Caenorhabditis elegans: one gene and its partner. The protein of the gene in region 1 interacts with the protein of each later gene in a pairwise test. Each region holds a gene or a part of one and is shown on either strand. Other genes may lie near its edges.

What was found. The genes of interacting proteins can lie anywhere in the genome.
Region 2: the proteins of hrde-2 (region 1) and ect-2 interact in a two-hybrid assay, tested with the Caenorhabditis elegans proteins (one large-scale study listed by BioGRID).

What each region holds. Positions count from the first base shown.
Region 1 is NC_003283.11:15,003,376-15,006,900, reverse strand, and holds hrde-2 (Protein hrde-2), read right to left. Parts: upstream 1,802-3,525; 5' UTR 1,783-1,801; coding exon 1,659-1,782; intron 1,614-1,658; coding exon 1,414-1,613; intron 1,365-1,413; coding exon 1,162-1,364; intron 1,109-1,161; coding exon 718-1,108; 3' UTR 501-717; downstream 1-500. Other genes in the region: nmr-2 (PBPe domain-containing protein), read left to right, coding at 1-35, 83-187, 234-355, 405-489; mut-15 (MUTator), read right to left, coding at 2,092-2,217, 2,272-2,542, 2,596-2,725, 2,770-2,875, 2,921-3,044, 3,093-3,525. UniProt on the Caenorhabditis elegans protein: Plays a role in germline RNA interference (RNAi), and in particular is required for piwi-interacting RNA (piRNA) gene silencing.
Region 2 is NC_003280.10:10,777,889-10,785,068, forward strand, and holds ect-2 (Protein ECT2), read right to left. Parts: upstream 5,406-7,180; 5' UTR 5,378-5,405; coding exon 5,255-5,377; intron 5,192-5,254; coding exon 5,006-5,191; intron 4,960-5,005; coding exon 4,819-4,959; intron 4,767-4,818; coding exon 4,713-4,766; intron 4,601-4,712; coding exon 4,499-4,600; intron 4,447-4,498; coding exon 4,231-4,446; intron 4,158-4,230; coding exon 3,819-4,157; intron 3,437-3,818; coding exon 2,931-3,436; intron 2,876-2,930; coding exon 2,797-2,875; intron 2,749-2,796; coding exon 2,623-2,748; intron 2,573-2,622; coding exon 2,145-2,572; intron 2,097-2,144; coding exon 2,021-2,096; intron 1,927-2,020; coding exon 1,785-1,926; intron 1,723-1,784; coding exon 1,593-1,722; intron 1,205-1,592; coding exon 1,054-1,204; 3' UTR 501-1,053; downstream 1-500. Other genes in the region: mpz-1 (PDZ domain-containing protein), read right to left, coding at 186-238.

The DNA of each region.
Region 1 (3,525 bases):
TTCTATCGGCATTTGTGCTGTTAGCCGGTGGAATCGTAAGCATTTGAAAATAAGCCTTAAATTTGGTTCTTAAAAATTTCAGATCGTCAGCGTCATTGTTCTTGGATTTGAGCACATTTATTGCATGCACCTTCGGAAGCCTCTACAAAAGATTGATCCGAATGGTTGGTGTGGAATTATCAGTATGGTAAGTGATTTATTAATTTAAAAAATCATTTTTTCTTTATTTCCAGGCTATGGGAAAATCTTTGACATTCACGGAAGCTGTTGATCGAGTTCAAGAATGGAGGTCGAGGACACAATCGTTGGCGAGTACGAATTCTCCGCAATTAAAACGACGACGATCTGCGAATTTGTGAGTGTTAGGAAATTCCATATTTAAAAACAAAAAGAAACAACTTCAGAAGACCAACTGAAGAACCATTCAATCAAGATCTGAACCCGCCAAGAAGAAGCCCCCGTTTTTTGCAAGTCGAAACCAATCTTTGAGCTCGTGATTTCCAGATAAAACATTTCATGATATTAATATTATAAATTAGAATTCGAGATACACGAAAAAAGAGGAAACCGTCGAGTTTTGCATAAAATCATGTAAATTATATGATACCGGAATGCAGTTAAAACTATTTGGAACTAGTTGAGATAAATAGGAAATACATAAGAACCAGTGCGGGGAACCGTAAAAATGGGGATAAAATGTGCTTTGGGTTTGGGAAATTATTGGCAGTATTCGTGGCCTTCGTCGTAACCATCATCGTAACGCGCAGCATTTTCGTAGTCATATTCATTCTCGTCGTTCTCGCTCTCATCCGGCGAGTACTCATCGTTGCTCATTTCGATATCCATATTGATCATTCTTGCCGGAACGAAGTATCTTCCTTGGGCGTTCGGGCGAATTTGACGAATACTTTCGTACTGGACCTTCTCTTTCTTTGCGGCTGGTACTGGAGCGGTCGACATGGGCGATCCTGAAGATCCAGTGGTGTTGGAAGGGACCATCTCGGCAGATCCGTTGGCTGCGTCCGATATGGCAACTGGAACTGAAGCACGAGTTCGGCGGATTTCCTCAATACGCTGTTGCTGTTCCTCAATTGGCGCACAATAAGTTCTGAAATCAAATGATTTATTGTGAATTTCTCGATTATCTTTCTTTTAGCTTACATGACGAGTTCAGCAACCCACGTTGGCACAGTACACTTTCGATTGTAAAGTTCAAAGCTGACGACCTTAATTTGAATTTTCTCTAAAATCGACACGACAATATCGATGAAAACTATTTTGTTTTCCTTGTGTGCCGACTTTTCAATTCCATGGAGCATCCTCGGGAAAGCTTCCACGTTGGACGGGAGTCCGTAGAAAATATACTGTAAATATGTTGATTGCTTTCTAATTACTGATTTTTAGAGGTTATACCGAGTCCGCGAGTGGCAAATCAACTTCATCAAATGCATTGTAGCTGCAAACTGCGAGTCCATTGCGATGGAACTTTGTCTTTTCTTGAATCCCACCATCGGGCATTTCTGTCAGAAACATAGACGATTCCATTCTCTGCTTGTTCAGCGTCAGCTTAATCTTGCGAGAATCGTCGTGCTCACAGAGGATAATCGTTGTCTCTAGAAAAGAACTAGATTTTTAATTTTAAAAAATGGTTTAAATACCTTTTCGTCCAATATAATCGCGAATCGCATCGAATTTTTGTTGAACGGACGAATTATCGGCTTCCGCCATCTTGTGAACTTCCATCTGGAGTCCAGAATCAAAAGTGTCGCTGTTCTGCGACATACTTCCCGTCTATTAATCTGTAAAACTGCAAAATAAATAAAGTATTCGAAAAATCATCAAAAATGATTATTTAAAATAGGTCATATAAGATATTGAAAGATAAATTGAATGAAGCTGTAACCATAGGATTCAAAACAAGAAATATGAAACACGAATTCAAAAAACATTGTATGTTACAAAAAAAAACAAAATACAAAAAGTTTAAAACCAGTAAAATTAAGAATCGTGTGAATGGGACGGAAAGAAACAAATAAATCAGCACAAAGATGGGGAAAATAATTTTTGAGAAGTTGGAAGAAAAATACATATTTAAACAGGAACAGCTGATGTTGCAGTTGCAACAGCTGCAGTTGTTCTCGATTGTCGATCCGCCAGGTATTTTTGGTAAAGATCGCGGAACCACGTGGGCGCTCGTGTTTTGTTGCATTCGAGAAACTGAAAAATTATCATGATTGTTTGAATCTTTCGATTTTGAGAAAGAAAAAGAACCTTTAAATATTCGCGAACGAGGCGAAAGTCCTTATTCTGGTCGATAATCATGTATAACTTCAGTTTCACTCCAATAATCGAAGCGAGGTTCTGCAACTCCGTCTCCATAATTGTTTGAAAATATAGTGGATGCGGAGAATCAAACATAACGATAGTGTCGACGGCGCCTCGGTGAACAGCGCGAATTGATCTCCAGTCGATCACAAGCACATCGAGATTACCCGTGCGAAACTCAAAGTTTCGTTTTTCCACATCTTCTTCGGAGTCGCATCTGCAAAAAAATAAATATGGAATAAAAAGGACACTATTTAGAATTGAACATACGTTGTAATTTTATGAATATTATAACGAAGGTTCACAGCTAAAGTTTGCATTTTCAGCCTCAGGTACATCATCACACGAATACATGTTTCCGTCGTTCGTGTTATGACGAGAATGCGTTCACGGCGGGGTTCTGAGAAAAATTTTATACCGAGTTTATAGTTCATATCAACTCACTGTCTCTCCGTCCAGATCTACCGTTATCTGCCGCTCTTGCATCTCTTTCTTTTTTGATCAACATGGTTAGTATCTTCAGTTTTTGTGTTGATTCGGTCAAATATTGCTGAAAGAATGAAAGATTAATTCAAAATTTAGACTCAGTAGTTACCGAGACAATTGCGGGACTTATATTATTATTCTCAAGTGTGCTCTCCTGGGTCGGAAGTAGACTAGCAATTTCACTGATAGGACGTACCAACTTGCATTCGATATTGGAAAATACATCACGAACTCTGGAAACATTCTAAGAATAGCACAAATTTTGCGAATATTGCTCGAACCTCGGATTATCAGCTTCAATGAGCACAGGTCTTTCCATTTTACCTTTGCAAAACTCGAGTGTTTCGGTTAACGAGGCAACTGAACTTGAGAAATGATACGCGAAGATGAATCGTGTCAAAGAACTTTCAAAAGTTTGAGCGAGACGTCCGAGTGAGTCGGCAAACTCACTGTTCCCCTTCAACTTCTCGGCATTATTAATGATAACAAAACGTAGAACAGATATAAAATCATCCAACTGTTCCATTTCATTCTTCAGCTTATCGATATACTCTTTGATTTTTTTGAATGAACCAATGAAAACTCTAGATCTATTCGATGTCATGAATTCATTTGACAGCTCAGTTGTGTCTAGATTTGTTATATGTGTATTTGGACGAGTGGAATTAGAACTTCTTCTCTTGTTGAGTAGGCCTCTCATTACAGATTTCGAGC
Region 2 (7,180 bases), on another chromosome or scaffold:
TTCGATTTTATTCACTTTTACCAGAAGTTTCAGTTTTGTTTCTGAACAAAAAATATTTTTCTAGCAAGAATGTGTGGAAAAATCCGAGAAATTATCGAAATAACGGGAATCTGCGGGTTATTGTACTTATTAAAGACGCACATCTTTTTTCTCGCTTTCGAATCATTTTTTCTTTTCAGACCTACCTTCTTTCGGCTTCATCTTCAACTGCTATTATATCCTCTGGCTCATCGATCATTCAATGATGTATTCCAGATTCTGAATCACAATTAATTAGCTCGAATTTTAAGAAGATAAAAAAAATTTAAAAATCTGAATTTAAAATATACTAATATGCAGGATCCTGGCCAAGACGTGTTTCGGAATGAATGAATAAAAGCCAAGCGGCATGTGCTCCAAGATATGAAATCTCCAGGGGCCATCTATAAGGCTCCGCCCATGTTTCCTTTTTCTCACTAATCTCATCTTTGTTTCTTTGTTTTTAGAGAGTTCAAAGACTTAAAGACAAGTAGGGTGTAATTTCATTTGAACCCCCTATCGCATTTTCTAACAAGAATAAAATTTGAATTTTCAAAAAAAAAGAAAAAAGTAATCGTAACGTTACTGTGGGGGAATGACCATTCAAATGAATGGTGAGAATAAAAGGGGAAAGGGGTATCGGATAAGAATGGCATACAAGTGATTTCGGGGAAATAATAAAAGTCAAGGAGCAATGGTCACACAAGCCTCGGGGACAGGAAGATGATAATGACGATTTGGGGGGAAAAATACACCTGTGGTAAATGGTAAATCAGTATGATACAAAGGATCTGGTCGTAGTTGTGGATGGTGATTACGGTAGTTTCGGTTGTTGTAATTACAAAAACGAAATGAAAAACTACGGGTGAAAACATGAAAAATGTAAGAGGGAGGGAGCTGAGAGCAAGCAAGAAATAAACCATCAAAATACACCGGTGAGCATCTGGAGGTATGAAGCTCGGAAAAGAGTGAGAACGAATTATTTATCAGTCGGAGGAGAGATTCGAGTTATCAGTTACACGGGTGCGGGGAGTTTCAGATATCGGTGACACGATATGAAGATGTTTTTGAGCGAGGTAGTTCCTTTTCCGAATGAGCAAATCCGGTAGCCTGACGGCGCATCGACGTGTTTCGTCCGAGTATGTTGTGTCGGCCGCCGAGGAACGTTGTCGAGGTGAGGCGAGAACTGAAATAACTAACAGGATATGTTAGATGTAGAGTGTCAATTTGGCATTAACTCATGGGAAAATATGGTCAATGAATGAGGCAACACGCCTTCAAGATCCGGCCGAAAAGAAGATCTACTAAAAGAAGATCTACTAAAAGAATATCTACAATGTGAAGATCTACGGCTTCAGGATCTGGCACCGTGCCAATTAGAAATTTTCGTGGTTTTCTCGAAGAAAAACGTGACAACAAAGGAGCATCATTGTTAAGTTTTTCTTCGATAAAACTACGAGTATTTCTAGTTGACACGGTGCCACATCCTGAAACCGTAGATCTTCAAATTGACTTTTCGGACAGATCTCGAAAACGTGTTGTCTCCGATAAATCTGTGGGGTGCATTGACGTACCGAATTCCTCGCTTTGGCGTCGATTCAGATTCGCTTTGGCATCCAGGCAATCCGCCGACTGACGTCATGTTTGCGAGAGCTGCTGGATCACACGAAACTCTGGGAGACTGCAGAAATGTCGTGTTCTCGTCTGAAATTAGTGAATCAAATACAATTTCAGAAGAAAAAAAAATAAATTTTCTAAAAACGCACTAATTTGTCCCAAGTTATTTCGACTCTGATTTCTGCCAAAGCCCAGCGTGGTGGCAAGTGTGAGTTGAGCATTACTGAACGCTCGTCGCATTCGACTCTGTGACTGTGGTGGTGGCATAAACGACTCATTGTGTGACCATTCCTGTAATAAAAGTTTATATATAAGCATTCAAGTTAGGTGTAACACTGTGGACAATTTTAATTTCTCCACTCATGTATCAAACTTCATTTCTCACGTTTTGTGTAGATCGTTCACTGACCGTAATGTTCATCTGACTGCCGTGTCCATATTGTGGTTTCGCTCCGCAAAGACTGAAATTTTGATTTTTTCTAAAGACTTGAAACCTGAAATAAGCCTACTTTCTAAAGTATCGAGTTGTCATATCCGAAACCATCGCATCGTTGATCTCATTCATATCTGATGGATCCGACGAGTAGAAGAATCTCCCACAATCACTCAAGATCTTCACATGAATATCGTCGAGAAAATCTCGAACCTCTTCATCATCATTCGATTCGAAGACTGTGTCAATGTCACCACCTTGCTCGTCACGATGAATCAGGCACCATACAAACACATTTGGCTTTGTGCTTCCGTTCTGCTGCTGCAACTCCAGACACTTCGCAATCTCGTCGGGAGCACGAATTCGGAATGCACTACGCATCGTGTTCAACTGTATCTGGTCAATGTACCTGTAGGGGCGACGCTGTCTCGAATGTAAACTGGCAAACGACGCGTGACGAGCTAGACGTTGCATTGTATTCTTCTCGCTGCGTATTTTCGTGATCTGAAATTTCAGAATTATTATTCAAAATAATTATTTAAAGACTCTCTTACAATTAGCACGTCATGAAATAAAAATAATTTCATTTTCGCAAACTGCTGTAGACCTGGCGACGTACTTGCAATCGGAGAAACGACCAACTCTCGTATGAACATTCGATTGGCAGCCACCAAAATTGGCTGTAAAAAAATTATTTTAACATCTGTTCAACAAATTTCCGCGCTTACTGGAACATTTTCAATGTCAGTGAACTTGCTCAGATGGGAAATGAAGTTGTCATTCTTTTCACGAGTTTTGTTGGCGGTTCTGAAAAACAAATGAATTTAGAAAAATAAAATTTAATTATGTTGAAAGTACACACTTCAAAACTTCGTCAATCGCTTTTGCGGCCTCTTCAGCATTGTTCTTCAGCTTTGAATCGGATTTCTTTGCCATTTCTTTGAGTAAAAGAATGACACTTGGAAGACGTTGCACTGGTTTCACCATCAAATCCGTCAACTTGAGCCGATGAAACTCTGGATTACTCTCTTTTGCCTTGCAAAATGTGTGAAATTTAGAATTCTCTCGATCCTGTTTATCGAATAACCGTTTGATTGTGTCATAAGAGTTGATGTACTGAGGATATGCCTTCTTCATTTCTTCTTTTGCATCAATCCACACTTGTGCAAAGTCCAGATTCTTATCATCGTTCTTTTTTCCATTTACGACCGTCAAAAGTGTATTCGCTTCGTTTGACATTACTGTCAGTCTGGCGAAAATCCTTTCGTGAAGTTCGAGAATCGGATCCAGCTTTCCAAACATCATGGCGACATCGGATCTTGACATGAACTCGTTGTGTGAGATCTCACATTCCAGAGCTTCTTTGAACTGCAAAAATATTCATATCAGAAAATGGAGACTTTTGAAATCAATGTGCAAGTGCGCTCCAAGGCAAAATGAAAAACGATCCGCCCCCAAACGTTGGGTATCGTTAGGAATTGGCACCAAAAAAAAGAGGTAAGTTGTTATGTTTACAAGCATTTTTTAAAAACTTTTTGTAATGTTTTCTATTGTTTTAGTTGAAAAACGAATAGTTTCAGTTTCGACACAAAAATCATGGAAGCAACAGAAGACACAACCAAAAACGCTAAAAGTTCTTGGAAACTTCTGTTTTTCTTGCCAAAACCTAACGAGACCCAACGTTAATGGGCGGAGCTATTTCGTTTAGCCGTGGAGCGCGCTTGCACCTCGCGATAAGTCAATATCCAACCTTGACAACAAGCTTCAACAGTGACAAGTAGTTCTTCTCCGTCTCCACCATCTCCATACAAACTCTGAGCCGTTTCGATGGTTGACGTGGCGATTTGCACGAGTTCTCCACATCATCATTCGAGTATATGTAGTCTGGTGTCATGTTCAACGAAGTTGGTCCTTCAACACTACAGTCACGCATTGATGACAAAGATCTCGAATTTTGGGAGCGAAGAGATTTTCCAATCGGGCTACTGACACTACTGCTTTCCAGTGGTTTTCTGTGAAGTTTGCCAGTTGGAAGAGCAAAGTTATCCTCTATAGCACAGCAACCACGGTGCAGGCTTACCCAGAACCACTGTAAATTGAGAAATGAATATTTAATTTAATTTTCTTTTTTTGAAAATTGATTTTTAAATCCTTTGAATTACCTCTTTAGTGACGTGAACTTGATTAGAAGACACTGCTAATGTCTCAACTTCGTCATTATCAGGATTATACACAACATGAGTAGCCAACGTGGGACTCGGAGCAAGTTTTCCACCTGTATTCTCCAAGCTTCTGAGCATGTCATCTATCTCAGTTTGTTTGAAGCCGTGGAAGAATAGGCTGAGTCCTTCAAATACGCCAAGTCTATGCTTATCTACCTGAAAATTGGCAAGCGATGAGAAAATGACTTTTATAGAGAGAATTTTTTACAAAACATGGTTCCATCACATCAAAATACGAGTCATCACGATGTTTCCAGCATTCTGTGACCCAATCTGCTCGCATCGTAGGCACACCGACTAGTGAAATTGACTGAAAAAATGAGAGAATACAATTGTTTTATACTTGAATGTCATAGCAGCCACAAATTTGGAAAAAATGTAGGGCTTTTCCAAAGAAATAGTCCGAAATATATAGCACTCACCTGAACTTTGGCTTCAACTTTCGCTGCGATGAACACATTTGTTCGTGATACTGTCTGAAATTCAATTATTGTATTTTTATAGCTTTCAGGATCGTAGGTAACTTACATCTTTCCTCACACTACCGCCCATATAATGAACCAAGTCAACGAGTTCTCGCTTATTTGGTACTTCTGCTGCTAACTTCATTGTTACATCTTTCATAAGCTCGCAGTAGAGTGGTCGGGCAGCTCGCAACGTCATCAAATCCTGCAATTTTTCAGTGAAACTGGATGAGACCTTGCGCCGAGTTTACCTCATTTTTCAGTAGCTTATTTTTCAACACGGACGCCCCAATAATAAAGAGTGCTTGCGTTTCCTGATGTTTTGTTAGTGTTCGAAAGAGGTCAGAATCAAAGTTTCCACAAAAGAATGTGTACTCGCTCCAATCTCCACTCAGGTCATCCAACGAGTCGTATTGAATAATATTTATATTTCGCTTCTGTAAATTATCATTAAATATTTAATCTTGCTAATTCGGAAATTCTAATAACTCAAAACAAACCTCTTTTTGCTCTTCAAGCATCTCGAAAATATCTTTAAAATCATGAACATCTTTTTTCGAAACAGCCAGTTTTTGAATAGTTTTTATTCGTTTTTGTGGTGATTGCAACATTGAGACGTCCATCTCAACTCGCAATCTTGCTTTATCACTGAAATATCAAATGTTTATTGGGATTCATGAGGGGAAATTGGAAAAACATTGCGAAAATCAGGTTTTGGATTCAAACAATCAGCTGTTCGCGCCGGTTTCGGTGCGAACACACTCACGCAAACATGCACGGATTTGCGCATGCGCAGCTAGCTGTGAAAGGGGGAATATGTGTAGAAAATTAGCATTAAATGGGCGTTAAACGAGTAGAACGATTTTTTAAAAATGAAACTGAAGATTGAGTTGAATTGATAAATGAAAACTAATTTGAATACGAAATTCTAATTGCGCTGATAAATAGGATATCTATAAAATCAAACAATTCAAAATTACTGATGAATCATTCAGAAATTGCTTTGAAATGGACTGAATTTGTACAAAACGTAAATAAAAAATCCCAAAAGAAACAAAAATGTGAACATTAAAGGAACATTTTCGCTCAGAAGGCAAGGGTCTTGCAGCGATTCATTGCAAAGGGTACGGTAGCCGATTCAAACTAGAAACAGTTTTTCTATCTAATTTTTTTATTTCTCTTTCATTCCCAAAATTGTATTTTTCCTGTTTTTTAAAAGTTGATGAGTTTAAAAATTAAACATATTTTCTCAACTTGATTCCCTAAAAAGTGGCATAAGAGTGAAAACTCACCGTTCGGTATGCTTTAAAAATCAGAAAATAGATTTTTGATGATCACAAGGGATTTTTATTTTTATTAAATGTCCGTGCTCTAGATAATTGTTTTAAACTTGAAAAAAAAGTTCACTTCTAAATTCTTCAGGCTTCTGTCGAAAATTAAATAAGGAGCTTCAAGCTGAGAAAAAAAACGAAACTTGTTCTAAATAATATTCAAAGGAGACTCTGCAAAACAGTAGCTTTTGTTTTATAACTTTTTCTCAATTTTCTCGAGTTTTCCGACATTTAACTGTGATTTTCACATTTTTCCGCGGTTTCACTCCTGTTCTCCAAATTCTTAAATATCGAATTTTTGCGAATTTCGAACTTTGTCTCTTTATTCTCATAATTTCTATGGATTCCGAACAGGTGGTGTGTTCGCTTCATTTTTGTTGAGACCCCACGCCACCTTGATGACCTCTTCCCCTTCGTGAACGACAGATAAACCAAACACAGAAAGTAATGCTAAGAGCTCGACCTGCGCCGATGACGTCATCAGAGGTTGCGCGAATCTAACAATGCACACGGTTATGGGGGGGGGGGGGGGCGGGTCACAATCGTGTGATGGCACACATCTGTTCGGAGGAGAAGACGTGTGCCAACAGATTATGCAGTTAATGTAGCAGAGTTTTTTCGTAATTTTAATAGTTTTTCGAGCTACTTTTTAATCTTGAAAATTAATTAACTAGGAGCCAAAATTAAATCAAACCTTTGCAATCATCCATGACAAAGACGGGGAATTTTTAATAAATATTAAGTTTTTTTTTTCATATTTGCGGCGGTCCTTATCTATTTATTTAATTAACATATCTTCCAGAATATATATTTCGAACTCTTTAGTCACCACTCTCTCCAGTCGTTAGAAATGTTGCGCCAATTTCTTCCTCCTTTTTCTTCCTTTTCTCTTCATCCCCCTTTAGTACCACCTAGTCACCCCATACCGTTGTCACCATCTGTACACTCTGCGGGAAGCACAGTCTCTATCGCGATTTGGCACAGTGCCAACATTTTGGGCGGGAAATGGGCAGCTGTTGCACCTAGTCTGTCTTTGAGATGCTAGTACCATACCAGTCATTTTATGCGCGCGCGAACGTTCAAACCCCTCTGTCT